3 linked regions of the Medicago truncatula genome follow. The main gene of each other region encodes a partner of the protein of the gene in region 3 in a complex. Links are inferred from orthologs where the notes say so. Each region holds a gene or a part of one and is shown on either strand. Other genes may lie near its edges. The genes, in order: SNW/SKI-interacting protein, serine/arginine-rich SC35-like splicing factor SCL30 and serine/arginine-rich splicing factor SR45.

What was found.
Region 1: serine/arginine-rich splicing factor SR45 (region 3) and SNW/SKI-interacting protein share a complex: the UniProt entries of both Arabidopsis thaliana proteins name them as parts of the spliceosome. The link is inferred for Medicago truncatula from reciprocal best matches to the Arabidopsis thaliana genes SR45 and SKIP.
Region 2: serine/arginine-rich splicing factor SR45 (region 3) and serine/arginine-rich SC35-like splicing factor SCL30 share a complex: the UniProt entries of both Arabidopsis thaliana proteins name them as parts of the spliceosome. The link is inferred for Medicago truncatula from reciprocal best matches to the Arabidopsis thaliana genes SR45 and SCL30.

What each region holds. Positions count from the first base shown.
Region 1 is NC_053043.1:11,529,228-11,539,799, reverse strand, and holds SNW/SKI-interacting protein, read left to right. Parts: upstream 1-5,555; 5' UTR 5,556-5,717; intron 5,718-5,834; 5' UTR 5,835-5,838; coding exon 5,839-7,680; 3' UTR 7,681-7,996; downstream 7,997-10,572. Other genes in the region: uncharacterized protein, read right to left, coding at 1-77. UniProt on the Arabidopsis thaliana protein: Splicing factor involved in post-transcriptional regulation of circadian clock and flowering time genes. Associates with the pre-mRNA of PRR7, PRR9, ELF3 and GI, and is necessary for the regulation of their alternative splicing and mRNA maturation.
Region 2 is NC_053046.1:35,351,238-35,361,809, reverse strand, and holds serine/arginine-rich SC35-like splicing factor SCL30, read right to left. Parts: upstream 4,888-10,572; 5' UTR 4,745-4,887; intron 4,623-4,744; 5' UTR 4,609-4,622; coding exon 4,355-4,608; intron 3,044-4,354; coding exon 2,876-3,043; intron 2,731-2,875; coding exon 2,687-2,730; intron 1,177-2,686; coding exon 1,098-1,176; intron 1,023-1,097; coding exon 822-1,022; intron 729-821; coding exon 614-728; 3' UTR 613-613; intron 529-612; 3' UTR 253-528; downstream 1-252. Other genes in the region: probable dual-specificity RNA methyltransferase RlmN, read right to left, coding at 6,753-6,941, 7,050-7,186, 7,291-7,430, 7,669-7,772, 8,757-8,873, 9,054-9,140, 9,276-9,377, 9,965-10,062. UniProt on the Arabidopsis thaliana protein: Involved in intron recognition and spliceosome assembly. Probably active at the 5' splice sites.
Region 3 is NC_053043.1:34,989,666-35,000,237, reverse strand, and holds serine/arginine-rich splicing factor SR45, read left to right. Parts: upstream 1-4,244; 5' UTR 4,245-4,350; coding exon 4,351-4,541; intron 4,542-5,006; coding exon 5,007-5,087; intron 5,088-6,606; coding exon 6,607-6,695; intron 6,696-7,047; coding exon 7,048-7,094; intron 7,095-7,178; coding exon 7,179-7,259; intron 7,260-7,355; coding exon 7,356-7,515; intron 7,516-7,610; coding exon 7,611-7,848; intron 7,849-7,926; coding exon 7,927-8,001; intron 8,002-8,104; coding exon 8,105-8,221; intron 8,222-8,851; coding exon 8,852-8,915; intron 8,916-8,992; coding exon 8,993-9,027; intron 9,028-9,903; coding exon 9,904-9,973; 3' UTR 9,974-10,307; downstream 10,308-10,572. Other genes in the region: protein NARROW LEAF 1, read left to right, coding at 1-306, 396-539, 1,443-1,683, 1,781-2,281, 2,897-3,333. UniProt on the Arabidopsis thaliana protein: Involved in 5' and 3' splicing site selection of introns, and may bridge the 5' and 3' components of the spliceosome. Isoform 1 is required during flower petal development and isoform 2 is involved in root growth.

The sequences.
Region 1 (10,572 bases), about 23 Mb from region 3:
AAGCATGGTGTGCATGACACCAACACTAGTACTAAGATTGCCCATGAAAGCATCCAATCTTGAGATAAAAACCTCATGTTGATCTGTAATCAGTAGCAATAATAATCAATTAAAAGCAATTAAGTTCTTGATCTAGAACACAAAAGTTAAAATCTAAGTCGTCTAACAATAATCGAAACGATTGAGATATGTGTGACCGCCTGTAGTCATAGGATCGCAACTACATATAATACTGATCATAAAATCGAATCTTCTTCGCAATAAATATTTGAAGTGATCGGTTCACTTTATTAGGGGAAAAAGTGATATTATAGTAATATGAAACATTAATTTAAATTTAACGATTGTAATTAGATAAAAATAAAATTGTCAAGTAGTCTAGTGACTAAATTTTTTTTTAAATGAATGAGTGGGATATCTGGGATTTGAATCCCAACCCCTGCATATAACAATGCATTATCTCCACCAATTGAGCTAAGCTTACGGGGGACTGTAATTAGATAGTTCTATTAATCACAATAACAAAGTTTTTTTTCACTAGGGTCGCTAGATGTATATATTAGACCAAAAGAAACGTACCTCAAATACTTGAAGAGAAATGTGCAAGTGTAATTAGTAGGAAGAGTATCAACTATTAAACTATAGAAGTGTCAGGCTTTTTTTCTGAAGGATGTAGAAGTGTTGAGCTTGAAACACATATTTATATACCAAAATATACAAGTGTCTTTGCATATGCTCTAAGACATACGTTTACCAAAATATATACTAATACTTATTTTAGTATGTGTTTGAAATTTCAATGCTTTTAATAAAATGCAAAGGCATGAATCACTCATTCATTTTTGGTTAATTGCAGATATTCTTAACAACAACATTCTCTTTTAACTTCCCTAAAAAAAAAAACATTCTCTTTTAACTATTTCAAAAAATAAAATAAAATAAAATAAACTAAAAACATTCTCTATGAACTACCACTCGTGCATGGATCATGGCCTTCTTCAATTTCTTAACGACCATCTTGAAATCCAAATCCAACCTATCAATAATTTAAAATATTATTCAATTTCATGGCGTTCTTCAATTTCTTGAGTCTTCCTTCACAATATGATTTATGGAAACTATTTGGTACACATCTAATCTAATAGACTAATACACCTTTATTCTCATAAGCTTATCTCAATTGGTAGGAATAATGCATAATATATGCAAGGTTTAGGATTCAAATTCAGACACTACACTATCAAAAAAAGACTGATACACCTCTTACACATTTCTAGCAGGATATAGAGGATCAAGATGTTATGATAGATATGATATGATATAACTGTAATGTGATAAGCAAACAAAAATAAAGAGAAAAAGGATGTTGAAAATAGATGTACAAATATTTATTCACTTTCCGTAAAAAAATAAGTATATGATTAATTCTTTTTTTCATTTGTGAATACATGATTTATTCACTTGTTATATTGTTTACATTTTTCCAAAGGTTTAAACACATTTTTGACCCTCTAACTTTGCACTAATTGTAATTTTGGCCCCCTATTAAAAAAAAACACATTATAGCCCCCTAAGTTTCTCCCCTATTGCAACTTTCAATTTTGGTCATTTAAGATCAACTATTCAAGACAGTAGAAGATCAAGAAACCGGTCCCAAGCCACATTATTTGCCCTATAAATCTGAAATTTGCTCAACAAAACACCCACTTGTTTTTACAGTATTGAATGGTTGATTTTAAATGACAAAAATTGAAGGTTGCAACAGGAAAGAAACTTACGGGGCTGGAATGTGGTTTTTTTAATAGAGGATCAAAATCGCAACTAGTGCAAATTTATGGGGCCAAAAATACGTTTAAGCCTTTTCCAAAATGTTACTTGTAGTTGAAAAAAATAAAACATAAACTGTAAATTTGTTTTGCATGTATGAAATATGCCTTGACAACTTCAGATTCTAGGCCCCTAAAAAATACTTCAGTTTCTAACTAACTCTTTATTGATTTGATTTAGTTGATAAAAAATTGGTCCATATCCTATAATTGTGTTGGTTCCATTGTGATGTCAATGTGATAACCTTTTTAATGGACGTCTTATAAGTATTTATATAAAAAATTCTTTAAGCATTGAAGCGTGTTTTTTTTTTGTTACAATTGAAGCATGTTACAATCCAACTTACTTAAACTTTTTTTTTTTTTTTGGTCTTAGATGAAGTGGTAATCCATTGAAAATAAACACACACACAACTGTGAGGTCCCGGGTTCGAACCCGGGTCATGACGTCCGACCTTGCAATTTCGGCATTTGCCAGTTGAGCTAGGACTTCTAGACACTTAAACTTTTTTATAAAAAAAAAAACATATATATTCTATTTATATATAAATTAAGCTAACTTCATATCAAATTCAATTTGGGGGAAGAGAAATGGTCATCCTTGTCATCCATGCCTCGAAAGCCTTTTTTTTTTCTATGAGATTTTCTAATTTAATATTTTTTTTAACAACAAATATTAGTATTGTTAGTATTATATGTGTTGAAATTTTGGAAGTCTTACGACGTTGAATGAGTAATCATATTAGACTTTTGAGCAACCAAGGGAAACACTATTTTTACTTAAAATATTAGATGTGAGTGTTTTCCATTATACTCACTCCCTCCCTCTATTTAAGAATCCATTCGATTTTATTTTTATCCTTAAATATAAATCTCTTTTTAAATTATTAGATGTATTTATTTTTTTTTTTCCTAAACATACTCTTAATTAATACTACTAACTTGTCTTGAAATTTGAAAAATCAAATTTAATACATATACAAACAAAGGACAATTTAGTAATATTAACACACAAAACAGACACATTATTTACACCGACAACTTTTCATAAGAAATGTGAAAAAAGCAAAATGAGTTTATATTAAGGGACGGAGCGAGTATGTTGTTCAACTTCTCATATCTATCAATGTTAGCTTGTAATTCAGTTTTTTTTATTTTTTGTTACAGCTTGTAATTCAGGTTTGACAAAGCATAATTTTTTTTTAGAGGACCTAAAATCATAAACATACTTTATCATTTTCTTGCACTTAATTTCATGTGTAGAGTAAAAAAAAAGACTTTAATTTTAAACTAAATTTTCGGATTATTTGAAATCTTAGAAAAACTCAAGTTCCGAGTTAGAGACCAAGAGTTATTTAAGAATAATGAAAATATAAGTGAGATGAGTTTTATGCTCCGTAAAACTTTTCACACGTGCTTTTAATCAAATTATGTCAAATAGATGAATATAAAGAGTATTCTTGAACATAACTCAATTAATAACGGTATGGGTTGATGTTTGAATAAGAGATTTTTACTTATTCCTTTTAAAAAATGAATTCTAGTCTTTAAGCTATTTGAAAAAAAAAATAAAGATATTTAAAAACTAATCTTAAAAAGTGGCATCATGAAGTGATTTTGATTAAATCGATTTGTATATAACAAAATTAAATTGTTAATGTATGCAAATTAAATTAAAGATCATTCAACCAAGCTTAAATAGTCAATAAACTCCACCTAAAATGAATTGTTTGAAAAAATTAAAGTTCATTTTTAGATGAAATAGTTTTTTATCTGATTTTATTTACTTCTTAAGAAAACACTCTATATTAATAAAGTTTTTCCCTATATACCAAATGGTAAAAAAAAAAAAAAAGAAGAAGATAATTTTAAAATTTACATACCAACTTTGGCAGTTAAAAATGTGTTTTAATCTATGAAATTCGGATACGTGATACGAGTGTGGGTATGATACGATACGAATAAGTAAATACGCAAAAATTTAAAATTGAAGATACGATACGACTAAAATACATTAACAATTTTTTTATACAAAAACTTATATGAATGTAAAACATTCGAAGAAAAAAACATTCATTACTCTTAAAAGTCACAATTTTTAAAAATAATACATGTGATCAAAATAAAAAATAAAAAATAAAATTTTCATATAAATAATATTATATTTTCATTCATATATTATGATATCAACATAAGCATCATTAAAATAACGCAACACAAATTTTGTCTAATGTTGATTAATTAAATCTTCTCTCTCATTACCTTCATCCACAAAAATAAAATAAAAATTTAAGTGGTTCATCCAAAAATAATTATACTATTTTAGATCTAAAGTTGAATCATATACACTTCCATTGAATTTTCATAATATAGGTATTTGATTGAATTTTCATAATATACGTAGTTGTGAAGTATTTTATAAGCATCTTTATGTATTTGTGAAGTATCATCTAAGTATTTGCTAAAATATTTTTAAAAAATTAAAATAATTAATTCCAACACTCCATGGGCATATCTGTGGAGTATCCATATTTGAATCCGATATGGATGCGTCTCATGGAGTATTCGGGCTTCATATGATTTAATTTATGACTATTATTTTTCTCACCCTATCTACTTCTCACGCGCCATATAATTTTTATAAAATACCCATGAGATTTCAGATTATAAAATCTGAACACAGTTTGGATCTGTTCGGATCATACAATCCGAAATATGTTTATATATAATCAGCAATTAGAATCTCTTCCATTTTAGCAGTTTTGAATTTTGCTTTTAAAAAACATGTCAAATAAAATCATAAAAATACCACAAAAAAATTCTAAAAATCAAAATTAAATTAATGAAATTTTTTTTTTTCGAATTTTTATGAGATAAGAAAAATTGGTCTAAACGATGGAATTTTAAATTTTGAGGGACGGAGTCTCGTAAGAAGTCCCTTCTATGGGAATTTTGATCCTTGATTTTTTTTCTTTTAATTTTCTGGGGAAGTATCGCAGCAATCTGATCAAGTATTGCAAAAACCAGATTTTTGATAAGAACGACTAAAAATGATCTAAAATAAAAGGATGGGGAAGATTAATATGATCCTTAAACTTGTTATCCATTTTACAAAAATACTCATAGCCTATTTGGATGTGCGGTAAAAGTGTCTTTCTCTCGTCCCAGGGTAACTTGGCCGTGGTTTTAACAAGTTACAAATTGTAACTTCTTGGCAAATGTGGTACTCCACCGCTAAAACAAACACTGCATCAGAAGTTATGCTGGTAGAGTTAATATTATATAATCCGAACTATTTTTCTATTGAAAAAGGATGTTTAGGGGTGTCCTGATTCTATAATCCGAAAAAGCAAGGAACGCGCTCTTTTTGTTAAGTTTTCGGATTTAAAGAATCTAAATTGGTGAAAAAGTCATTTTTTTTTCACTCCATAACAGATAAAAAACTCAATTCAAATTATAAAATCCGAAATCACATAGACATTTTCCTACAAAAATAGGACGCACGAGAAATAGTTTGAGTGAGAAAGTAATAGTTTTAATTTTTTATATATAACATAAGATTAGTCATTAGTGTAAAGAGTTTATTTTTTTGAGAGAAGTGTAAAGAGTTTATATGTGGTTCATGAGCTGGTTTTATTATTGAACCGGTATAACTAAGAACCCGGGTTAATCGTTATCTTGTGTATAATTTTTTACTAGACCGACATTGGTTTATCTATATAAAAATCAGAAATTAAAAATTAACAAAAATCTCAGAACCCGAACGAAACACACTGAAGATTGAAAAGTCTCAAAGGAAAATCAAAATCGCAAATAAACCCTAAATCGCGTCACCGTCATCTTCAACCACGCGCCACTGATCCTCACTGCACCGTCCTCCGCCGTTCACAAGTAATATTTCTTCAACCAATTTGTTTCTATTAATTCTTATTTTAATCGACGTTAATTATCGATTCCATAAATTAGGGTTTCGTTTTTTTGATTTTTTGAAATTGATTTTTGTTGCAGAACCATGGCGGCTCTGAAGGAACTCCTTCCAGAACCAAAATCATCCACAACAACATACTATGATCATAGCAACGATCCATGGTTTAAGCAAAGATTCACTGCAACGGAAGAGGAGAAATCCGCTGCAATCGCACCCAAAATTGTACCACCGTATCTGAAACGATCTGGTTTTGTTCCACGAAAGGTTGAGGATTTTGGAGAAGGTGGAGCTTTCCCGGAGATCCATGTGGCACAGTATCCGCTTGATATGGGAAGGAATAAGAATTCGAAGCCGGGTTCGAAGATTCTTCCGGTTACGGTTGATGCTCATGGTAATGTTGCTTATGATGCTATTGTGAAGCAGAATGAGAATGCTAAGAAGATTGTTTATACCCAGCATAAGGATTTGATACCGAAGATTTTGAAGAATGATGGAGATGATGAAATGGAGGATGGTGAGGACGAGGATGCTCAGCGTGAGATTGATGAGACTATGGAGGAAACAAAGGCGGCGCTTGAGAAGATTGTGAACGTGAGGCTTAGTGCTGCGCAGCCGAAGAATGTTCCGAAGCATAATTCGGATTCTAAGTATATAAAGTATAAGCCTTCGCAGCAGAATGCGGCTTTTAATTCTGGTGCGAGGGAGAGGGTTATTAGGATGGTTGAGATGCCTGTGGATCCACTTGAGCCTCCAAAATTTAAGCATAAGAGGGTTCCTAAGGCTTCGGGTTCACCTCCTGTGCCTGTGATGCATTCACCTCCGAGGCCTGTTACTGTGAAAGATCAGCAGGATTGGAAGATACCACCTTGTATTTCGAATTGGAAGAATCCTAAGGGTTATACTATTCCTCTTGATAAGCGGTTGGCTGCTGATGGGAGAGGGCTTCAAGAGGTTCAGATTAATGATAATTTTGCTAAGCTTTCTGAGGCTTTGTATGTCGCAGAGCAGAAGGCTAGAGAAGCTGTAGCTATGAGGTCTAAGGTGCAGAAGGAGATGCTTTTGAAGGAGAAAGAAAGGAAGGAACAGGAGTTGAGGGCTTTGGCTCAGAAAGCACGCTCAGAGAGAATTGGTGTGGCTCCTCCGGCTGCTGCTGTTCCCGTTGTTTCGGAAAAGAGTGGTGTGGATGATGGTGATATGAGAGTTGATTATGACCACAGGGGGGATAGAGGGGATAGAGACAGGGAAAGGGAAAGGGAAAAGAACTATCCCAAGGAGAGTCGGGAAGAAAAAGAGGAGCGGCTGGGACGTGAGAAGATTCGTATGGAAAGGAGAAAGGAGAGGGAGAAGGAGAGAAGGATAGAAGCTAAGGATGCTGCCATGGGAAAGAAGAGCAAGATTACTAGAGATAGGGATCGTGATATAAGTGAGAAAGTTGCTCTTGGTATGGCTTCCACCAAGCAAGGGACAGAGGTCATGTATGATGAGAGGCTATTCAACCAGGATAAAGGAATGTCTTCTGGATTTGCCACTGATGATCAGTATAATGTGTATGATAAAGGCTTGTTCAATGCACAGCCAACACTTTCCACCCTGTACAGGCCGAAGAAGGATGTTGATAATGAAGCTTATGGAGGTGCAGACGAGCAGCTGGAGAAGATTATGAAGACTGATCGCTTTAAGCCTGACAAATCATTTACAGGGACTTCTGAAAGGGCACCTCCTAGGGATAGGCCGGTTGAGTTTGAGAGCGAAGAAGCTGATCCATTTGGTCTTGATCAGTTCTTGACAGAGGTCAAGAAGGGTAAGAAGGCCATGGAAAATGTAGGTGGGGGAGGAACTATGAGAGCTAGTGCCGGATCTTCAATGCGAGATAGTTCTGATGGAGGTTCTGGCAGGACTCGCATTGGATTTGAAAGAGGGCGTTAAGTGGATCAGTGTTGAAGGCTAATTGTTATCATGCTTAGGTTGGCATGTCTTTAAGTGGATTGTAAGGATAACGTGGTTGAGTTATTTATCTTACTTTTTCTTGCCCCAAGCCTATGGACCACCTTATAAGTGGTGAAATGTACTTGTATTTTGTTTTGAAACCTTTTTATGTTATTTATCTTTCCATGGAGTTATATTCAGTGAAATGCAATGTTCAAATTTTAAAGTAGATCTCCACTATTTGAATGAAATGTATTTGGCTGTTACAATGTACTCCATGATATATCTAGTTTTTTCATGCCTGATTACCGGATAATACATTTGCTTTCTGCCATTGCTGTTTGGTTTATGCCATTAATGGACTGTTATGGCTGGTAATGAGGATATTGACTACAGCTGTTGAGACTAGAGTGGAACTGTTGGCTTTCTGTTTTCATGTTATACTAATCGATGGTTCTCTACTAGAATGAAATGTAATCGATAGCTTTAAATTTATTTAACGAGTTATCAATTTTTTCAATACTTTATAATCCATTTGATTGCTTGTTATTGCTGTTTGAGTTATGCTATTGAAGGAGAAATTGTCAATTGAGGTGTAAAACAGTGTTTAATCATTACCTGACCCAAGGATTCAAGTGGATGTGTATTTTTTTTTTTTTTTGAACTAAGTGGTTGTGTTTTTTGATTTGATAGAACTGTGTATTAGTAACCCCTCCATAGGACAACATTTGATGCCCACAAAAAAGGATGGGGAACAATATTATTTTTAGTAGTTCTTGACAACTATGTTGAACTAACTTCTCTAGATTTGTGCACATGAAGGCTCAACCCCATCTGCTGTATATCGTGGTTTTACTACTTTATAGTCTTGGGAAAATTATATCAGACCATCATGATTGTAATGTGTGGAGTGTAGCCTGCACTAGAATTGAAAATTACATTAGATCATCTTTGCATACCATTTTCATCCAAGCTTCCTGTCAGATGGTACAGGCATATGATTTTTTGTGACATATTTCTATATTGTATAAAATTGGCTGATTAGGGTGTGCTAAATTGTAAAAAAATGCTTGGTGCTTAGGAAGTTGCTATTAATTCTAGTCATGTGTTTCAAAAGGTGGTGGATAATCCTGTCAATTACTTCTGTAGTGAGTTAATTTTTTCCAGTCCTGCTATTTTTTGAGGTAGTTTTCGTAAAGTCTAACAAATTTGTAAATTGTTCTAGCGCGAGGTTTAACTAATAGCCTGATGTAGAACTTATTGTGAACTGTGTTTTACTAAATTACAGAATGAGTCCTTGCATCTTCTCTGTGATTGCTCTTTCTCAAGCTTTTGATGTTTTCACTAGATTAATTAAGCTTCAGCTACCCAGTCTGTCAGTTGATTCTCATTCTCTGGTGTAAGCATTTGTTCTTTAACCGTCATCAGATTTGTATTGTTTTCTTCTAGTCACTCCATGAGTTTTCTGTGTTGAAATGGTTCTTTTGATTATCGATGCTGGAGTTGCCAGTTCCGAAAGTGTTATGCCGAATGATACGGTAAAGACTGATGAAACTGGGGACACAAATAAGGAATGAACCTCAAAGAAGAGCAAGAAGAACTAGCATGTGGAAAAGCCTCCTAGCAAGTCACAAGTTAAGAAAATGATTTCTGTTTTACTTCTGAAAACATCCATCATTGCTATTCTCTTGTTTTGCGGGGTGCCTTCTATGTGGTAATTTCCAAAACATCCCTATCATTCATTTCAAATTCATAATTAATACATTTTTGAACTTCAGGTTAATACTTAATACGTTCTCGAACCATTTGATTTTCAGATTATCTTATTATTTTTCTAATACATCATTTTTTTATTTAACTCAAATGTATTTCATAATTGTTAATTTGCAATTTACTTTTGCTTTTAGATAAAGTTTTGGTTGCTTGTTAAAACTAAGCTGGTCATACTCAATTAGGTATATAATGTCTTTTATTGATCTTTTGTTTTTGTCTTTCTGAACTGAACAACGTTCAACAAGGCATCTTCATGCTCCAATGTGTATGTCAATAAATAAAGTCTTTCTTGATGTTCACTGTGACCTAATTATCTTGATCTCACCTGTAAGTTTAGTATATGGGTAGCAGCAGAAGCTTAATCAGCTCCTTCTATTGTTTTAACATCACGTTCACATGATGGACTTCATGTTTTTAATTATTTTTGAGAGGCTTATCCTTATCCTTGGTTGAGCCATAACACAGAATGTCATAAATCTTCTTTTCATGGTATTTCCATGTTTTTCTACTAAAACATTTGAATTTGCTTCTATACACACTTTTTATCTGTGTTGTAACTCTTTGGAATGAACTATCAGTGTCTTTTTTTCTGACAAGTTCAACATACTGATTAATGATCTTCTATCTAAAAAAGGTTGTGTATAATAAGCTCTGATGGTTAGCTTGCATGATTTTCTGTACTAATTCTGAAATTCATGTTTTAATTTTTTCTTCTGCTATGTACAAAATGTGATGTGATGTGAGTTGCCACTGAGGCTGCCGATGATGAAATTTCACTATTCTGTCTTTTTCAATAGTTTGAGATCATGGATTGTGAAGTGCAATTGAGACTAGAGATGGTTTACTTGGGCATAATCCATATCTTGTAAACAAAATATGGTTCTATGAACATTTTGGTTCTTTCTCATTATATAATCTTCTTTTCCAAACTGAACTCATTATCCAGTTCAGTGCACTAGGTTCTATTGACCCGAATTGTCAGTGTATTCATAACCAATCTGAAGCTTGGTTCCATTTCTTCTTGGGCTGCGATGATTTCCCAGCACCGATTGATCTGAAGCAAACACCATTAGCTAATAATGATTCAATAGCAAATAATTTAGATGAGCATTGGAAGAG
Region 2 (10,572 bases), on a different chromosome or scaffold from region 3:
ACTTACATCATTGCATATTCTATTTTTTTTTTTACTTCAAATTAACCACTTGCCCATGCTAAAATGGTGATTGTAACACATGCTAGCATTATACATTCTTTTAGACAAGATGAAGGTATCAATCACACCTAAAACATACATCCCAACACTGTAGCTTATGCAAAATCACCATTTTAGCAAACCTAGTACTATGTTAGTTACCAGTCGTTGACGTACAACTGCATTAACTATGTTGAAATCATTTGAAGAGTGTTTGACATGAAAAATAAAAGCTTAAAATCCTCAACAATTCATCAGTTACATAGGTATTACACAAGTTCAAAGTCCAAAAAGCCCCACATCACTACCAAGTTTAAAGATTATACAACCATCCATCATAATACGCTAACATTTCAATAACAAGCTTAAGGATTATACATCCATCCATCACAACAATTCGAAACTTTTAAGCAGTCTACATGTTTCTGATAAATTGAAGAAATTATACATAAGCCCAAATGCGCATTGCCAATAAACCTGCAGTGCAACCTGCATGAATAAAACCATCAAAATAGATTCTAAACAGAGAAACTGATATCCTAATAAATATACTCTTAACATTAAACAGTTTACCTCATCTGCCACGTCTAGGTGACAAATCAACAGATCTTGATCTAGATCTAGATCCTGGGGGTGATCTTGATGACTTCCACGGGCCTCTATCCGCCTCAGATTTGTACACAGATTTCCTTTATACAGAACAAAGTATAAACATACAGCGCAAGAGAGGGGAACCCAGCACATTCAATTAAAGAAGCTAAACAGAAAATAGATGGGCTCACTCAGCATATCCATTGCTTTGATTCTGATCAACATCATTGCCATAACCTAGAGGAGAATACGACCTGCGTTTATGATCTGCATCTCGCTCCACAGGAGGACTTCTAGGAGGACTTCTAGGTGATCTAGGGCGTTCTGCATGCCTTCTAGGAGAAACAGAGTAGTCACCTTGCCTTCTTGGGGCAGGAGAGAAGGACCTGGACCTGGCATATATCAATTCAAAACCATGACTTCGTGATTCAGTAACATATAAAAGGAAGTTATTTGAAGAAACTTGCCTTGAGCGATAGCGGTTTCTAGAACCAGAGTGATAAGGAGGTGATCTTGATCTGGAAATTGAGCGAGATCGAGAACGCCCTGATGGATTTGACATGATTATAAAATTGTAAGTATTTGTAAGAAATGCAGAGCAATGCCATATTACATTTGGGCAACCTAAGAACTAAGATTCAATATAAACAATGCTTCATACTCCCTCCGTCCCAAATTGTATGACGTTTTGGGCATTTCACACATATTAAGAAATGTAATTAATATTGTGTGGTAAAGAGATATTATGAGTTGTTTTACAAAATTATTCCTTAATAAATGATATAGGAAAGATAAATGAAAAAATTGAAAAAAGAAAGAGTAATAAATAGTTAAGGATATAATAGGAAAAGTAACATTAATGTTTCATTGGTATTCTAAAGTGACATACAATTTGGGACAAATATTTTTTCTAAAGTGACATACAATTTGGGACGGAGGGAGTATATATATATATATGAAAACATTTACCAAGATGAATGAAAAATTGTATAACTATAAAGTGCAGCTGATTTAGCACATCAAAAGACTAAACGTGGTCAACGAAAGTTGAGGAATGGGAGAAAGAACTGTCATAGCATCTGAAAAATACCTCACCACACCATGAATGATGAATCTAGTGTTGTAAAATATGTCCAAAGCATCTTATCTTTTATCTTAAAATTAGTTTTCCATATTCTCTTACTTTCATGATTTGTTATTTTTTACATATTTCATTAGGATTAAGAGTCTAGTAGAGTAATACAGTAATAGATTAATATAAATAAAGACTCGTGTTTTGACTTCTGTAGTTAACATTCAACATACCATTCCTACTTCTATCATAGTTCTGAGTACCCCCACCTTCCCTTCCTCTATGCCTAAAACTAGCCCAATGACTTTAACAAGAAATATGAAAAAGCATATCTTCAAGCATGGCACCTATGCATACTCTTAGTAAAGTAGCTTAAAAATTGGCAGTCCCCAATGAACGCCTTGAAAAATTAGCAGTATATGTATCCCCATCACAACAATCATTGATGAGATCTACCGCTCCAACAAAAATCAGTCTTCCAATCCTGTTATATCTAGTATGGTTTTCAGTAGGCTAGCTAAAATCAATTAGTTAAATAACTTTTAGACACATAGAAAAGTTTAGTATAGGAGCGGGAATCCTGACAATAAATCTCTGGAGCATCAATACTATGACAACAAAGGTCAAGGACACAGTCTGAATACTATTTCCTACTCACGAAATACATGGATATGACATTATAGAGAGAAAAAAAATACATCATTGTTTCTTCACATCAGCATAAATACAAAATAGGCTTAAATAAGCCACAATTCTATTGTCAAATTAATTCAGATAAAGCACCCATGTCACACACTATCATTCTATTGTCAAATTCAAGCAAAAAGGACAAATTCTAATGTGGTGGAAGAACAATATGCATCACAAGTGCAGGTGGAACAAATTTCATATCTAGCATCTAAAACATGCTTCAGCCATAAACAGCATTAGGTGTGCTCAGTATAGGTTTCAAGAAGTTAATACAATTTGTAAAAGTAATATTACCGTGGTAGGAAGACCTTTGCCCTCCATAGCTCCCTCCTGGTCCTCTGTAAAATACAAAAATCATGCAAATACATATAAATGGACTTTTTTTTTTGGTGGGCGGTCTTTAAATGTGACAAAGTAAGATATACTACAGATTTGTAATCTTCTACATGAGGGCAGACAAAGCAGAGAAATCAAAAGACATACCTGGACCTACTAGTCCTATGACGCATCTCCTCTGGCCTTTTTCTTGTCTCTGCAGCCACAACAACAGATATTTCCCTTCCAGCAAAAATTTGTCTGTCCATATGGTACTGCGCCTCAGAGGCCTCATATGCATCCACAAACTGCACGAATGCAAAGCCTCGAGGTTGTCTGTACGGGAAAAAACAGAGCTTCATTCTAACACTGCTACAAAAATATTGGCAGAGAAAGACTGCAGAAAATGCTGATTAGGCAGACTTCGCATACCACAGTAACCACCTCAAATCACATTACATAGTATAGCTTTCTTTAGACAACCTATTAATGGCTCTCTTGAGACATGCACACAGCAGTGGACGCTGAATTACTAAAGCCGCTAAAATCCAAAGCTTAGTTGTGACTGGGCCTTATCTTTACATTCAAGTAGTAAAGTGACTTGAAAAATTCTTCAACATTCTTGTTGTATTTATAATCACTTGAATTCAAAGCTTCCCACAACCACAAAATAAAAAAAACCTCCTCACAAAGTCTTCAATAGGACAACCAACCAACTTGCATGAAACTTGTATTCATTGAGTTGCGTAATTATATAGATTCTCTATCTTGGTATGACATTAACACACTTGGAAACCAACAAGTTAAAGAGTGAGTAGTTCTCTTCAAATGTGGGGCTTGGGCTTGTTTTAACTTCAATTTCAAACCAACATACCCCCTGACAAACCAGTCAAAATTAATTCATAATGCAAAAGTTTAAACTTATAAACCAAAAAAAAATTACATTTTGGTCCCATCTATTTTCAAATTCACAATTTTGGTCTCCCCGCATATTATCTTTTACAGTTTTAGTCCTTGCACTTTCAGACTTTGGTCCCTCAATTTTGAGTATTTTAAGTACTTCTGGTCTCCAACATAACGATTTTTGGGGACCAAAAGTTTGGAAAAACCGTAATACTAAGAGACCAAGTGCCTGTTTGGATTGGTTTATATGAACTTATCTATTGGAATAAGTTGCTTTAGCTTGTGACACTGTTCATAAACTGTTTTCAGCTTATTTTCATAAGTTCTCCAAGATATCTAATGAAAATAGCTTATAAATTTTACGAAAAGAATTTCAATTTATTTTACATTCTGCTATAGAAATATCTTATACATAAGCATTTGTGCTTTAAGCTGCAAATCAGCTGTTAATCCAAACAGCGCCCAAAAGTACAATAAAACAATTACAGAAACCAAAATCCCAAAAAATAATTCGCAAGAACCCAAGTCATGAAAAATAAAATAGGGAACCAAAATCGTAAATTTAAGAAAACAGGGGGCCCAACACCAAGACATGACACAGAACAGACCACCCCAACCCAACAATCAACCTGTCAAATCTAACTCAAATCTGAAAAACACAAACATAACAAACAACACACAACAACAAAACACAAACAATAAATATGAATAATTACGCAGAGTTGATCACAAATGTTAGCTCACCCAGAGTAATAATCCTTCGGTATGTAAACATCGCGAACCGGTCCAAATCGCTCGAACGGCGCTCTCAGCTCCTCAGGTCTACAATCCAAAGGAATGTTCCTCACCAAAAGACTTCCATTGTTGCTTTCTCTACGTCTACCACCACCTCCACCACCACCACCATATCCCCTCCTACCACCACCACCTCCACCGCCACCCCTACCGCCGTATCCTCTCCGTGGAGGACTGTAGTAACCTGGACTGTTCCTCCGCATCTCTTAACCTAACCCTAATTTCAAAATTAACAAAGAATTAATGCAAATTAGCGTGAATTCGAATGTGTTTAGTGTTGTTTGAAACGAATTAAAGATTGGAATGATGAAAAAGATTATGAATTTAGAAAATTGTTACCTTGATTTGAGTGATTAGAGAGAAAAGTACCAAAAAATTCGTATGCACGGGAAAGAATAGAAAAGAAAAAGAAAGCGTTGAGAATGTGTTTGTTTTTTCATCTGAGAAACCTATTTTAAACCCTAGATTAGATTTCACGTGACCACTCCAAACGCACCGTTTCATTCATAAGTAAATATTATATATATATTTTTAATTATCTTTCTTTTTTTGAGGGAATTTTTTTAATTTACACACCTCTTATTGAAATTTTTGAGTTTGGTCATTCACAATTTTTTCTGTAAATTAATATGAAAATATCATGGATTATTTTAAATTTTATTTTTCTTAGAGAATAAATTAGTTCATGAGAAAAGTGTGATTCTAGATCTTAGTCAAACTCATTTCAAATAGATTTACACAAACTTATATGAAGTACTTTTTTTTTGTTACAAGTACATTTACATAACTTAATTCATGAACATTCTAAGTTATTAGATTTTATTTTACTTAAAATCAATTCAAGCACATTTGTCTAAACTCAGTTCAAGTACATTTTTATAAAGTCAAAATTATAATTTTAATCTATAATCTTTAAATAAAATATTCATAAACAAAGATAAATGAAAGATTATAGATTTAAAGATTGAGAGGCCATAAGAAAATAAAGTCATGAATTTGAAGCTTAAAAATTCATATGCAAATAGATAAAAAGGACAAAATTGAAATGAAAAAAAAGAGATAAAAGACCAAATTATTGCCTGAAATTAAGTTAAAAGATTAAAATTATAATTTTGCCTTTTCATAAACTTAGTTCAAATATGAGTTACTAGATTTTACTCAAACTCAGCTAGAGAACACTTACACAAACTCAACTACGTAAACATAGTTCAAATGTGTTTACATAAACTTATTTCATGTACCATATATACACTTTGTTTTTCCTTTTTTGAAGTCATGTATACTCTGGGTTGCTAGGGTTTACTCAAACTCAATTCAAGTATGTTTACATAAACTTTTATGTACGTTTATGCAAATTCTATTCTTCAAGTACTTTATGCTAAGAGTATTTTGAGTTAGAAGTAAGCAAGAAAAAAGGTGTTGTAATTACCAAATGACTGAATTATATTACATTATGAAATTTCTACCGGAATCCAAATTCTATTTTTTCCTTCACAATGCCAACTTCTTGGAAAGGCTTTCTGCTGATTTTGAGCAATGCAAGGAGAGGGAACAAGATTTACCCTTAACTCAATGATAACAATAAACAATCCAAACTCCTTAGCTCATTGAAGAGCTTGAAGAAGTTCTATGGCCTCACCTTCCTTGACGGTTCCCATACAACTGCTATACCATAAAGCAGCTGTTTAGGATCTGAATTCGTGAGATTTTGCATTTATAATTTGCAAAAACTAGAAAACTTTAACATTGTAAAAATGACATGGTGCATAGTGAACCACTTAAAGGATTTGTATTCCAAACAATGCCTATGTTTTAACAGCAACAAAAAACAATAAATTAACAAAGGGGGAAAAAATCTGTTTTAATAGTCAGATTTTTACAAGCTGGATCAGCAGTTGCGACATAAATAAATAAATAAATATATAATGCAAAAGGGGTCCAATACATGAAAAATATCTCCCAAGTGCACCATATGAACTACAAAGTCCTAATCACTTATAACCAACAATATTTGCTTGTGGTAGTAACTAATTTCCAGTAGGTTGTTTCTTATGAAAATTTCTCTTAGCTGCCAAAGAATCTAAAGACTTTCTAAGTTTCCAAACCTGCATACCACAAAAATAGAGCTAACAACCACATAGATGTTTCTCCACATTTCTCTGCTAGCAAGAAAGTTGACATTACAACTCAGGCAGTAACAGGAAACACCTCTATCCCTTCATAATTGGTAATTGAGATTATACTCATTTTGGTTGATCAAACCTCTCATTGTTTTAGTCCGAACTTGTTTAGTATATGCCATATAAGTAGAAAGTTGATAACGTAAGCAGCCACGAAACTGACACTATCAACCTGTAACTGCAAGGTCCATATTTGGAAGCTGGGATTCCAGATTGTTGTCAGATTCTGTGACCAAAGGAGTTTTCTGGAAATTGTTCCGTAGCTGACCACAAGCTGCATTTGCGTCCAGTCCTCTGGTTTGGCGTACACTAGTGGTTATTTTAGATGACTCCAAAGCATTAACAAATGCTTGCACCTACCAAATTACAAAGTATGGATTAAATACTCTAAAATTATTGAATACATCAAGACATAAATTATAAATCGTAATCAGAATGAATGAAAAATAAGAAAATTATCATACTGCTTTTCTGTAAGGACGGCGAAACTCAGAGCCTTCTATTGGATTAAAAGGTATAAGGTTGACATGATAACCACTGCCATATTCATGTAGTAGTTTAGCGAGTTCTACTGCATTGTCTACTGAGTCGTTGATTCCGGCTGCTCAAACATAATGCCAGGAAAGTGGAAAATACATCGTAAGAATTTCATTAACCTTACTGTACAAAGGAGAAACAAGAATTTGTTGGAAACTTTCTGTGTACCTAAAAGTGCATATTCAAAGGAAACCCGTCTACTTGTTTCGTGGAAGTATTCCTTGCAGTCTTTCATAAGTGCATCCAATGGGTAAGACTTTGCACTTGGAACAATTGTCTCCCTTAGTTTCTGGTTAGGAGCATGTAGGCTGAAGTAAGATACAAAAGGGAAATCATATGTTAGAAAGAGAATTATTTACATGAACGAGTATGAAAGAATCCACTAAAACAAGCCACCGAATGATATATTTTGCAGCCACAAATCAGACCAGACCAAACACCAGAGTATGAACAGTGAACGAAGAAAGGCATGAAATAAAGGCATATTGCCTATTCATTGTGAAGTTCTATTTCTTGACTGACAAGATCAGAATCAAGGACAATTACCTCACAGCTAAAGTGGATTGAAGTTTATGAGTAGCTAACTTCTTTATTGTATTTGGAACCCCCACGGTGGAGATAGTCATCATTCTTTGCCCAATTTGTATATCCTACAAGAAGCCCAACCAAAATCCAACATTAGCACACTTACATGCTATTACTATATGCTCTCTATCATCATAATAAAATGAAATATAAAAGGTGAAATAAGACCAAGCAAAATGTTATTCTGATCAGTAGTGTCAATCACCAATCGCAGAAGATAGCTGTTTGTTCAAATTCTGCTATGCAACAGTGCTATAGCACAAATATAGTTGCTATTTAACAACATTTTGCACTAAATAGCGTATCACGGAGCAAAAGCGATTAGTTCAAATTCTGCTACGCTATATTGTTATACCCGCTACTTGACAACACTGATGCTGATACATGATTTCTTTTGACGGATGAGTATATGTATGCATAAATATTTTTATGCATGTGAGACTGTCTATTCTGTTCTATCTCGTTTATCCTTTCCAATGGAACTAAAACATATCACTTTTTACGTTGCAAGTGTATACTGTTCTGCTCTACTTTTAAGTTTTAACATGTACCAAACATAAAACATAACTAATTTGCTCTCTTATGTTCTGGCCTGTTTTAATTTCTATAAAACTTCTGGAAAGAAAAAAAGAAGATCCATAAAAAAATCCATGTCCCCTCCTCCTCACGAAAAGATAATATTACGTAAAACAACCAATTCAGTAGCAAGAGAACCTAACACTTACTAAGATGGAATCAAATTCAGTAGAGTAATATTAGATTTTTATATTGGGCTTAGCTCATCCTTACAAAACCGATCTATAAGGTGAGGAGTACCACTCATTATAAACTCATTTCAGGCTCTATTTCTATTCTATGCAGATTTGGTTTTTTTCCCCAATAAGTAACAACCAATGAGTCCCAGAGTTTAAATGATAATGTTAACCTAGTTAAGAGCAAAGATGGCAGATGCAGGTTTAAACTCTAAAAATATCATATAGAGAACTGTTACAATTACAAGCAAGCATTTGATAAGGAAATAATGTCACATATGATAGGCATTCATTCACCTTATTCAAGCAACGGTGTGCCTCAAGTACTGCCTTCAGGTTTAACATTGGTTCACCCATTCCCATAAAGACTACATTAGTCACCCTGCGTTTGAACACCTCCTCAATGGCCAAGACCTGTTTAAATAAAGAGCTCGCTTAAAAACAATTGCGAACCCGAAAATGATCTCATTGCTTTATTTGATCTTTTTCCTTTCTTTTCTGTTAACATTTTTATTTCTTTTAATTAAATCTAAATTTACAGATCACGTGGGAAATCTAACATCAAACTACTCTAATGTATGTATGGACAGAAACCTGCTCAACAATTTCATGGCTCCGAAGATTCCTAGAAAAGCCGCCTTTTCCAGTGGCACAAAAAGAGCATTTCAGAGGGCAACCTACCTAAATATCCAAATAACAGAAGGACATAACAAAAACAAATGGAAAATATCAGTTTCTTGATCAATAACACAAACATTACTGCAAAGAAAGAAAACAACAACTCATTCATCGATGATTCAAAAGTAAGTCAAACACCTGTGATGAGACACATGCTGTCAGGCGAACTGAACCCTTCTCATCTTCAACAGGAATACCAACAGTTTCAATCAATCTGTTGTCTTCCAACTTTAATAACAACTGCAAAATCAAATTCCAACAAATAGAAAAACAAGAATCAGTGCATAAAAAAAAATCAAGGAAACATCAACAATCCCATCCTTTAACAAGCAAGTTAATATCCTACCCTTCTTCTTAAGAATACCAAGTAAAACACCAAAAGAAAACAACTTGAATCATTGCCGGAAAAATGAGAACAATGTCAATGGAATCAAATTACATTTGTGTTTAGAGGTAAACATCTCAAGATATAAAGTGGTCACTAAAACAGAAATTTAAATCATTTAAAAAAACTAAAAGCTACAGAGCACAACAATACAACAACGTTAATGCTAGAACCAGTGCCACACAAGTTTAAAAAAATATAAAGTTTTTCTTATTGAAAGTATAGCTTTTGAAATAAAGAATGTATTGAATGTTGTGATACCCCATAAATCAGGGTAAGGCTGCGTACAATACACCAAATGGTGGGACCCCTTCCCGGACCCTGCATATGCGGTAGCTCTAGTGCACCGGGTTGCCCTTTATACCCCATAAAAATGGTTAGCAGGAACCATAAATTAAAAACAACAACAATAGGTTTGCTGAGCTGTGATTATATCTTTTACCTTCACAGTTCCATCCGTTGCAACAACAGTGTTGAAAATTGGAGACCGTCCCACCTTCCATCCAGCTTCCTCAAGCTCATTCCTAAATGCCTGAGGCACTGCAATGCAAGCAAAACAACAACACCACCACATCAAAAAGTTAGTACTTTCATTGTCAAACACCAGACACTACACTAACACGAACAAAACCGACACCAGTGATAATTTTATAAAAGTAGAAGTGATTGAATATAGCCACATGGGTCCATGTCGTGTGAATAACACTGACTCAAATGAAAGTGATTGAATGTAACCACCTGTGTTAGTTGTTGTATTTTATTTGGAATTTATTTTAAAGTTAATTATTAAATTATTATTATTCTAAACCGTTTTCTTTTGACCAAGTTATTTAGCTGCACACTAATAGGGCATACAGTTTTGCAACGTTATTATATTTTAATTGGCTATATATATGGGAGATGAGTTTTCCTGAAAAGGACGAAAAACAAATTATCTTTACCTTTTGTTATGTTGCTTACAAAAAATACAGTGATATAGTACTGAAGTATAATTGATTCTTCCATCACTTAGTCACTAATACCAAATAACAATTAAGTTCCCATGAGCAT
Region 3 (10,572 bases):
TGGCCTAGCCGTTTGCCTGATGCTGCCGAAGAGAGAGCAAACTACTTTTTAAATCTACAAAAGGGGGTCCTACCTGAAACCCTTGGTCGTCTGCCGAAGGGGCAGCAGGCAACCACATTACTTGAGCTCATGACAATCAGAGCATTTCACAGCAAGATACTGCGTTGTTACAGCCTTGGAACAGCGATTGGTTTTCGTATTCGGAGAGGTGTATTGACAGATATTCCCGCCATTCTGGTGTTTGTTTCCAGGAAAGTTCACAAGCAATGGCTCAGCCCAATCCAGTGTCTTCCTACTGCCCTTGAGGTTCAGCTTTAACCTATATATATAGATATTTGTTGTGATCTCTAGTGTCTGCTGCTGCAGTTAAAATAGATGTTTAATTTGTGAATCAGGGGCCTGGTGGAGTATGGTGTGATGTAGATGTGGTGGAATTCTCATATTTTGGTGCACCTGAACCAGTTCCGAAAGAACAACACTATACAGAGATTGTGGATGACTTGCGTGGAGGTGATCCGTGCATTGGTTCAGGATCTCAGGTGTTTTTTTGCTCTCTTATTTAATGTTTCCTATGGAAACAAATCATCTGGTTTACAAAAGAATTTTTTTGATTTGATTAATATCGCATGCATGTGATGATTAAAGAAGCATTTTTAGCCTAATACTTGGCAATCTCTTCCACTAAAAAATCAGAGTGTAATTACTGCACTATTGTCCTTAATTTATATCATATTCATATGCTGTAGTGGTTTGTCCTAGGAAGCTTAGCCATGCCTACACGAGTCTAACGTTGCAGGTTGTGTATGCAAATTCAACAAAACATCTTTTGTCAAGATTCATTTAACTTGACATAACTAATAAGTGCATGGACTTGACCTTCTACGATAGACTCGTGGAGATATAGCTATTAGATTCATAATTTCTTTAAATTTTAGACCTTAGATTTCAAGCTTCATCGTGTTACATGCAGTATCTAGTGCTTCAATGAACCTGTTTTTATATCTTTACATGTTTTTAATTCTCATATGGTACCTGTAGACGGATGTCTATGCTACTAAACAATGGTTTTAGTATTTTAATTGGAACTAAACCTTAAATCTGGTTTCCAATGCCTTTTCTTTGGCAATCTCATTATGCGAATGTCATTGGCCAGACATTTCGGGATATTTTCTTTCAGCCTAATCTCTACCAGTTTATATTTCAAAATTTTCTGTCCTGAATAAACAACGAAAAATTTAGGGAGGCCAGAAATATAGATCTTGTGGTTTTATCGGGCTTGTCAAAAGAAGTCATTTGAGATATTTAAAGAGTGAAATTACAGGGTTTGCAAAATCTCTTGCGATTGCCAGCTTGCAGAGTTAATAGCAATATTTCTCATTCTCATTTTTCTGTTCTATTTGGTGAATATGTTCCACCTCTGACCACTTACTTCCTTGGTCTAGGTGGCAAGCCAGGAGACATACGGAACTTTGGGTGCCATTGTGAGGAGCCAAACAGGTAGCCGACAAGTTGGTTTTCTCACAAATCGTCATGTAGCAGTCGATTTAGATTATCCAAATCAAAAGATGTTTCATCCTCTTCCACCCACATTGGGACCCGGGGTTTATCTTGGGGCAGTAGAGAGAGCAACTTCATTTATAACTGATGAGCTCTGGTATGGAATATTTGCCGGAATAAACCCAGGTAACATAATTTCAAAAGTCTGATTGATTTAATCTGATTACTTGCATTATTTTCGCTACACATACTCATCACATATCATGATGTGTTTCCCCTCCAGAGACGTTCGTGAGAGCCGACGGAGCATTCATTCCTTTTGCTGATGACTTTGACATGTGCACTGTTACTACCTCAGTGAGAGGCGTTGGAGATATCGGTGATGTGAAAATTATTGACCTACAGTCTCCAATTAGTACCCTTATTGGAAAACAAGTAGTTAAGGTTGGAAGAAGTTCTGGCTTGACAACAGGAATTGTTTTGGCGTATGCCCTAGAGTACAATGATGAGAAGGGTATATGCTTTCTAACAGATTTTCTTGTTGTTGGTGAAAACCAACAAACTTTTGACCTTGAAGGAGATAGTGGAAGTCTCATAATGTTTAAAGGTGACAACGGTGAGAAGCCACGACCAATTGGGATCATATGGGGAGGGACTGCTAATAGGGGCCGCCTTAAGTTAAAAATTGGGCTACCTCCGGAGAATTGGACTAGTGGGGTTGATCTAGGACGTCTTCTTAATCTACTTGAACTTGATTTGATTACAAGTGATGAAGGACTTAGAGGTTTGTCTATCTTTCACTATCACTATCACTATCACCATCATCATCATCGTTATTTCAATTTATAATTCTCAAATACGGGGTTAGAACTTATATTAGGTTGTTGTTCTCATATATGAAATTGTGTTGATGCCTATAGGGCATAGGGTGGGTAATTGAATGAATTAATCTGATGATATGATTTGGTAGGGTAATAGTGTGTTTAGCTATGCATTGATCAGCTGTATTCTTAAATGTTTCAAAAACCAGATTGAACTGTCCAGTTCAAACGGGAACCGACAAGTTCGCTGGTTGGTTTGATCCCGGTTTTACCACAGTCTGGTTGAACCATAGTCAAACACAGTTTGATTCAACCACACACATTTTAAATTTATATTTTATTCATCATTTGGTTCAACCGTGATCTCTGGTTCGATTTTTAAAGCATTGTTTTCTTGTTAAAAACCAACTAGCATATAATCATTTTTTTTTTTAATTTACTATATTCCTATGTTTCTGTCTCCTAATAGTGAAGATAGCATTGAAAATGTTGAAAACAATTTTCTATCAACTGATCAGGATTATCTTAATGAAGTGAAACTAGAGGTTAAATTCTAAAATCAATATCTTTTTGTGTAGTGGCGGTGCAAGAACAAAGGACTGCATCGGCTACATTTATGGGCTCTATTGTTGGTGATTCCTCAACTCCTGATGGTATGCATCAGAAAGATAGAGTGGAAGACAAATTTGAGCCTCTTGGTCTTCAAATCCAGTCTATTCCCTTAGGAGTTGAACCTAACAGCCAGGAAATGAAACCATCAACCATGGAGGCTGAATTTAAATTAGAAGACGGAATCAAGGTAGGTGGTCCCAGTATTGAACATCAGTTCATTCCGAGTTTCATCGGGCGGTCACCGTTGCACAAACACACTGTGCATGACAAAGCTGCAGCAGCAGAGAATTTATCTTCATTGAGGAATGACTGTAATGAAGATTTATGTGTTTCGTTGCAGCTGGGTGATAATGAAGCAAAGAGAAGACGTTCTGAGGCATCTACTAGTACCGAGGAACCTTGATTAAACAAATTATTAGCTTAAGCTTGAAAAACTGACTTGTTATAACAGTTAATCACCCTGGAATGCGTTGTTTATGACCATTGGGAATTTGGGATACTGTATTTGTATGATTTAGCAGCTTTGACAGAGGCTAATGACAATGATATCAGTGGAACTCACAATATGAAGTTTTAAGTGAATTGTGGACAGAGGGCCATTCAAATCTTACTATGGTTTAATTTATGTTGTAAAGTTACTTTTCTCATTAACGTGTGCAGACTTTGCCAAGAATGTGATGGCTTAGAACTGACCTAAAATGTTTTTAGGCTTAAGGAAAGAATATGAATGCAAAAAGCAACCTCAAAAGTAGTCCTTTGTATTGAGCAAAAAAGGATTTGGCCTTCTAAATCATTCTTTCCGCCATTTTTTTTTAAACTTGGTATTTGGGTCTAAGGATATGCTAATTTGAAGGATAAACGTCGTAATGACTAACGAAACAATAAATGTTGACATCTAAAGTATTCAAACTTGAAACTCTTACATAAACACACTCGCATAATTATGAAAAAACATTCGTCCAAATTTATTCATTCAAATGAAAAATAATTATGATGTTATTCAATTTTTTTTTCTTTTGAAGTTAAATTAGCCCGCTAAATTAACACCGGAGATAATCCACTCTCATGTTTTTAAGTTAATACCACCAGCCTAACCCGAATGGAAAGGGGTGTAATTTTCAAGAAATAAGTGGAACTAAAAAGTAAGTCTCAAATTTTTATTTTAATTAATAAACTTGCTTGGTTATGATGATGGTTCCATGAATGAAATTAACCCATGAAACTCGGGTAAACCCGACCCATTCAAACTTCATCCTGACCCATAAAAAATGGGTAAAAATAAAATAAAATAAAACTAAAATCTGTATCGTTCATTCATTTTCTTTCTTTCTTTCTTCTTACCTCGATTCACTCCACACAAATCCAACACTTCACTACCAGCTAGGGTTTATAGAGGGTTTCACGCTCTCTCTCTTCAACAATGGCGAAACCTGGTCGAGCTCGTCGCTCACCACCATCAGGTTCCGTCTCCGGATCTTCTTCTCTCTCCTCCTCTTCCCGTTCCTCTTCTCGCTCCCGCTCCCGTTCCAGATCCTTCTCTTCCTCTTCTCGCTCTCCCTCCCGCAGTTCCAAGAGCCGTAGCCGTAGTCCTCCTCCTCCAAGACGCAAAAGGTACATCCATCCTTCGATTCAACTTTAATTCTTGCCAAATCGTTCAAATTTTGAACCATTAGAAAAATCGAAGTCAATTTGATTTTTTGCGTAGAAGAACATGCATGAAAATGTTCAAGATGAAAACAATTATGATTTTCAGATGTTAATTTGAGAATGTCATATTTTTCAGTTTTTAATTTTCAATTTTGAGTTCGGTTTAGGTTTTCAAATAGGAGAAGTTGGAAATGGAAATCTGCCCAGTTTTAAATTTTAGTCCAAATTATTGTTTTGATGAATATGATTTTGATCACTGTAATGTAAATGTGGTTAATTGGTGTACACTGTACATTATATTTTGAACTGTACGCACAAATCACGGTTCTTTTGGTTAAATATTTCGTGGGAGTAATTTCCATGTTGTTGATTTTAGTAAAGTTTATATTTTTCAGTTCATATTGATAGGGTAGTATTTTTGTTGTGTAGTTCTGCTGAACCAGCTAGGCGAGGTCGATCTCCTCCTCTTCCTCCACCTCCACAGTCTAAGAGACCTTCTCCTCCTCCAAGGTAAACTCATTTCAAATTTGCTATTTCAATCCAACTTTTTTCTAGGACACTTCTTGTATTTGTGTATGTCCCTCGTGGAGATGGAGACTGGGAGTTTTTATTACTAATCATATTTTTCATATGCCATATCTTGACGTTGGAGATATGAAATTATTCTTTCATTTTTGCTTTTTATATACTATATCTTAACTCTTGTTGAAGTTTAGCATGGTATGTCTTGTTAGGTAATAAGATACAAACTAGTAGTGGAAAACCGCAGTAGCCAATTTATATTGTCAACTGTTAACAGTCTACTATATATTGAGGTCATCACCGACTAAAGTGATATATGTAAGATGGCCAGGGATATGGATTATATACAAGGTTGTCAAAGTTGAGATTCTGCATAGGATTGGAAAAGGGGTAAAAGATTGTAAAACGTGAGATCACGAGACAAAGGATTGTAATATAAACATGATAACAAAATTATTTAATTAATAAGTATAGTAATATTTCTTTTAAAACTCAAGTCAGAATTTTGATGTTTATTTTGTAGTTATTGTATTGTTGAAATTTCTAAATTTATTTTATATTTGAATGTAATTATAAAAGAAGGGATATAATGGAACATTATAGCACAATTATAAAAAATCCTAGTCACATGTTAGCAAGAGATATAAGACTTAGATAGATCTTATAAAACTTAGGCAATCCTCATCTTACATGCTTGTTTTATGTCATTAAGTTGAATTTGCCCAAAATTTAAGATGGTATCTTAGATCTGATGTTCGACCACCGACTATATTGGCCACACTCCAAACTCAGTAGTGCTGAGCGAGGATGATGTGTATTAGAAAAACAGCGTCCGCCATTTACTAGAGATAGTGCTTCATAAGATCTTATGAAGTATGGACTCTCCACACTTTATAAATTAGTTTTGTGGGGTTGAGTTAGTGTTGGGTGGTAAAGAACCAGCACGAGAGTAAAATAAGTGTAGCGGAGATGAGAATGTTTCATTCAGAGAGAGAGAGAGAGAGAGAGGGAGGGAGGGAGGGAGGGAGGGAGGGAGGGAGAGGGGGAGGGAGAGGGAGGGAGAGAGAGAGGTGTAGCGGAGATGAGAATGTTTCATTGAATGTGTGGTATGAGTGGACATGATAGAATTAGAAATGACAATATGAGAGAGAGAGAGAGAGAGAGAGAGAGAGAGAGAGAGAGAGAGTAAAATAAGTGTAGCGGAGATGAGAATGTTTCATTGAATGTGTGGTATGAGTGGACATGATATATGTAGCGGACCCAATTTTCAAAATACTGAATATACATTGGTTAAGTTTGTTTTTATAATTTTCAGTGCGGACTTTTTTCATCATATCTTTAAGATGTGGTAAATTTGTTAGAATATTTTTTTATTTTTCATCTCACATTTTTAAATTTAATTAAACATGCTGTGATTGTGAGCCTTCTAAGTTCAACAATTGACAAGTTTTCTTTCGATTTGTAACTTCTATCTTTTGCTATGTTTACTTATCATGCTTCATCTCAGGAAACCTTCTCCTGTACGTGAGTCTCTTGTTCTCCACGTTGAGAAACTCAGCAGGAATGTCAATGAAGGCCATTTGAAAGAAATTTTCAGTAAGTTAAACTCTTTCACTTCTGCTTTCGTCTTCAACTGTGAATCGAGATACATTTTTCATTTGAAACCAGTGTCTCATGGTATTAGGATCCAAAATTTAAGCCCAATGCAATTTTTCTGTTTCTTTTATTTTAGTTTTGATCTTTTTGTCATTTATACTTCAATATAAGTATTCATATTATTAACTGGGAGCATAGTTGCTTCATATCTATGCATACACTCTTGAAATACCAATAATCGAGAGAAACTTTTTAGTAGCCTCTAGTAGCTTGTGTGTGTAATTGGAAGGGAACTTTTAGTGACCTTTATATCTTAAGGAGCTCATATCCTCTTTTGCTGACCTGTTTTCAGGTAATTTTGGCGAGGTTGTAAGTGTGGAGTTGGTGATGGATAGAGCTGTAAGTTTGCATTTAATTTGGCATCATAGTTCTAGAAGAATTTAGAGTCGTAGGTTTTTAAATTTCTTTTAAAAAACTTTCCAGGTTAATCTTCCAAAAGGATATGGATATGTGCATTTCAAGACAAGAGGGGAAGCTGAAAAAGCATTATTGTACATGGATGGTGTAGGTTGCTTTTGCCCGAGTTGGATTAATTTCCACAATCAAGCTTGTTGGCTGCCGCATTTGGAAATTGATGCCTTTGTTTTTTTTGTTATGCAGGCCCAAATAGATGGCAATGTTGTTAAGGCAAGATTTACTCTACCTCCAAGACAGAAAGCTTCACCACCCCCAAAAGCTGTTGCTCCAAAGAGAGATGCACCCAGGACTGATAATGCTGGTGCAGAAGTTGAAAAAGATGGGCCAAAGCGTCCAAGAGAATGTATATGCTTGATATTTGTTGAACATTTTTTTGTTTTATATTTATCATATTGGTGGTTTTTATATTGGTATTGAACTAATTATTCATGGTACCAGCTTCTCCTCGGAGAAAACCTCCTCCCTCACCACGAAGAAGATCTCCTGTGCCTCGAAGAGCTGGATCTCCAAGACGACCAGAATCTCCTCGCCGCCGTGCAGATTCTCCTGTTCGTCGTCGATTAGACTCTCCTTATCGTCGCGGAGCTGGAGACACACCTCCTAGGAGGAGACCTGTGTCTCCCGGAAGAGGTCGTTCTCCATCTCCACCACCAAGGCGCCTTAGATCCCCTGCAAGGTTGGCTTGTGATTGCATGCATGTTTTTCATATACAATTTCATTATACAGCCGACTCAATTAATTTTCATTTTTGTAGGGTATCACCTCGAAGGATGCGTGGAAGCCCAGGCCCAGGTCGGAGACGTTCTCCTCCTCCACCTCCAAGACGCCGGTAACCATATTTTGAGTGCTTATTTTCCTCGTTTATTGTTTTTCAATTTGCATTTTAACATGCCATTGATTGCTCATTGGAAAAATAAATGTTTTTTTTATAGTTCACCTCCTAGACGAGCCCGTAGTCCTCCTAGAAGATCTCCAGTTGGTCGTAGGCGTAGTCGCTCTCCAATACGTAGATCTGCACGCTCACGCTCAAGATCATTCTCACCTCGCAGGTAATTTTGTCTCATGCAATATCTCAGTTCTCTAAAATGATTTATTTTTTTTTAGCATAATAATATTTTGATAGAAGCATAAAATAAAGTGTTGTAAATGAGCATGTGAACATATGATGTTTGGACCCGAGGTGTTTTGTAGTTATCCAAAATTCGGCATTCCCTTGAATGGTCATGTATGTAATCCTTAGTGAAGATTTAATTGATGCTTATTATGTAGGACTGAATATTTTATATGATGTTTGGACCCGAGGTGTTTTGTAGTTATCCAAAATTCGACATTCCCTTGAATGGTCATGTATGTAGTCCTTAGTGAAGATTTAATTGATGCTTATTATGTAGGACTGAATATTTTATAAAATGAAAAATGAATTTTTTACGTGATATAATCATGGCAGTTGGGGATTTCGATCTTGTTTCTTAGGAATCAAGGTTCCTTTAAAAAAAATCTTGTTTCTTAGGAAGAAATGCTTATTTTACAGAATACTTCCAGTGTCCACCAACATTTGTAGTGCATATGCATCCATAAATGCAAAGTTTTAATTCCTAGTCATGTTTTGATTGATTGAACTTTGCATGATAATACTTTGAAAATGTACCAACGCCTGGGTAAAATTTTCTTATTGACAGAGGCAGGCCACCTATGAGACGGGGAAGGTCATCATCTTACTCTGATTCGCCAAGTCCTCGCAAGGTTTGTGCCTTTTACTTGGTGTAGATGTCATTATTTTACATGGTCAATGATTCTAACATTCATAACTTTGACAACAGGTATCCCGGAGATCAAAGAGTCGCAGTCCAAGAAGGTAATGTGTACAATATTTGGTATAATGGTTTTCATGTCTAATCTTTTTTGTTATTATTTTTATTTGTTTGGTAACATTCACTGCCGTCTTTTCTTCTATTCTGATTACAATCTCTGGTGCCTTTTTATAGTTACTTCTGATACATTTATCACTACCATATTTTTTTAACTTGTTTATAATGCAATCATTATGACCTCAAACAAGATCATGTAAGATTCGAGTTGTTTTGAAGAATTTCTACTGGCAACTCTCTTTTTTGGAGAACCTTATAAAATATAATGCAAATGAAACAGCACTATTTAAAGCTTGAAAGTCGTAATAACCAAATGCAATTGAATGAGCAGCATCTTTTTTGGTGCCTGTCAGACTCCTACTTTCTGCCGAATTTAAGCCGGAATTTGTCGCCTAACTTTGGTGTTTCATTGTTCAAACACAGTACAAGGATGCATTTTTAAGTAGATGTTCATATGCTTAGGATTGATATCATATCTCTCCTCAATTGGCATTTTAAGCCATTGGATTTTGTGTTCCATGGTTTTTGAATGACATTCTCGTATCAAATTCAGCTATGCTATAGCGCTATGGAAAGATTGCAGATTGCAAACGATGTGGGTTACGACAGATTAGATTTTAAGAAATGGATGTTATCTTATTTCAGTCCATTCCACCTTATACCACCAATTAAAATATACCCTTGTTAGAAGAGTTGGCATTTGTACATTTTCATTAAAGGATATTTTGTCATCAGTAATGACAGCTTTAAATTTAACTTTGTAAATTTGCTTAGAATCACGTTTGTTTCTTTCAGTTTTATGGTTTTATGATCTGCATCTTCATTTTGGATTCTTTACTAATGTAAACTGCCTTCTAATTCAGGCCTTTGAAAGGACGAGCCAGTAGCAACAGTAGCAGCAGCAGTTCACCACCCCCAGCTCGCAAACCATAGATAATTCCTGTATATCTACTGTCTCTATATTGATACATTTATCAGGATTGTGTACCAGCAACGAGAAGTTATTCTAGGTTAAGTTGTTAAGGGATATTTGTCGCATTTCTTCATGGCTGTCTGTTTCCTAACATGTTTTCAAATTAGTGCTTTAAGTAGTTTGAAAACCGTGTTTCACTTTATTAATCTGCATTTCGGTTGATTTTTGCAATGCTGTTCTGAAATACAAAATTTGGGAGACGGTATTTTAACCTCTTGCACCTGTGGAGTTCTATGTAATTGACAATCTGAGTGTGCAAATAATGTGTATGTTTGGTGTGGATCTAGTTGGAAATTTCTGTATCAATGCTTTTTAGAATTAGTGGGAAATGCCAAACTTAGGTGAGCTATTTGTCTGACTATGCACCTGTTTGCTTTGCGTTTTCCTTAAAACCGCGGCAATTCACCACGTTAAAAGCAAAAACTTCAAAAGCTAGCTTCTTGAAATCATGGCACTTTTGCTTTAGAAATCCTGTAGCCGTGCTTTTGTTGGTTGCAACCGCCTAACCAAACAGGCATATGATAATGCAACGCCTTGCATGCCATTTATAATTTTACGA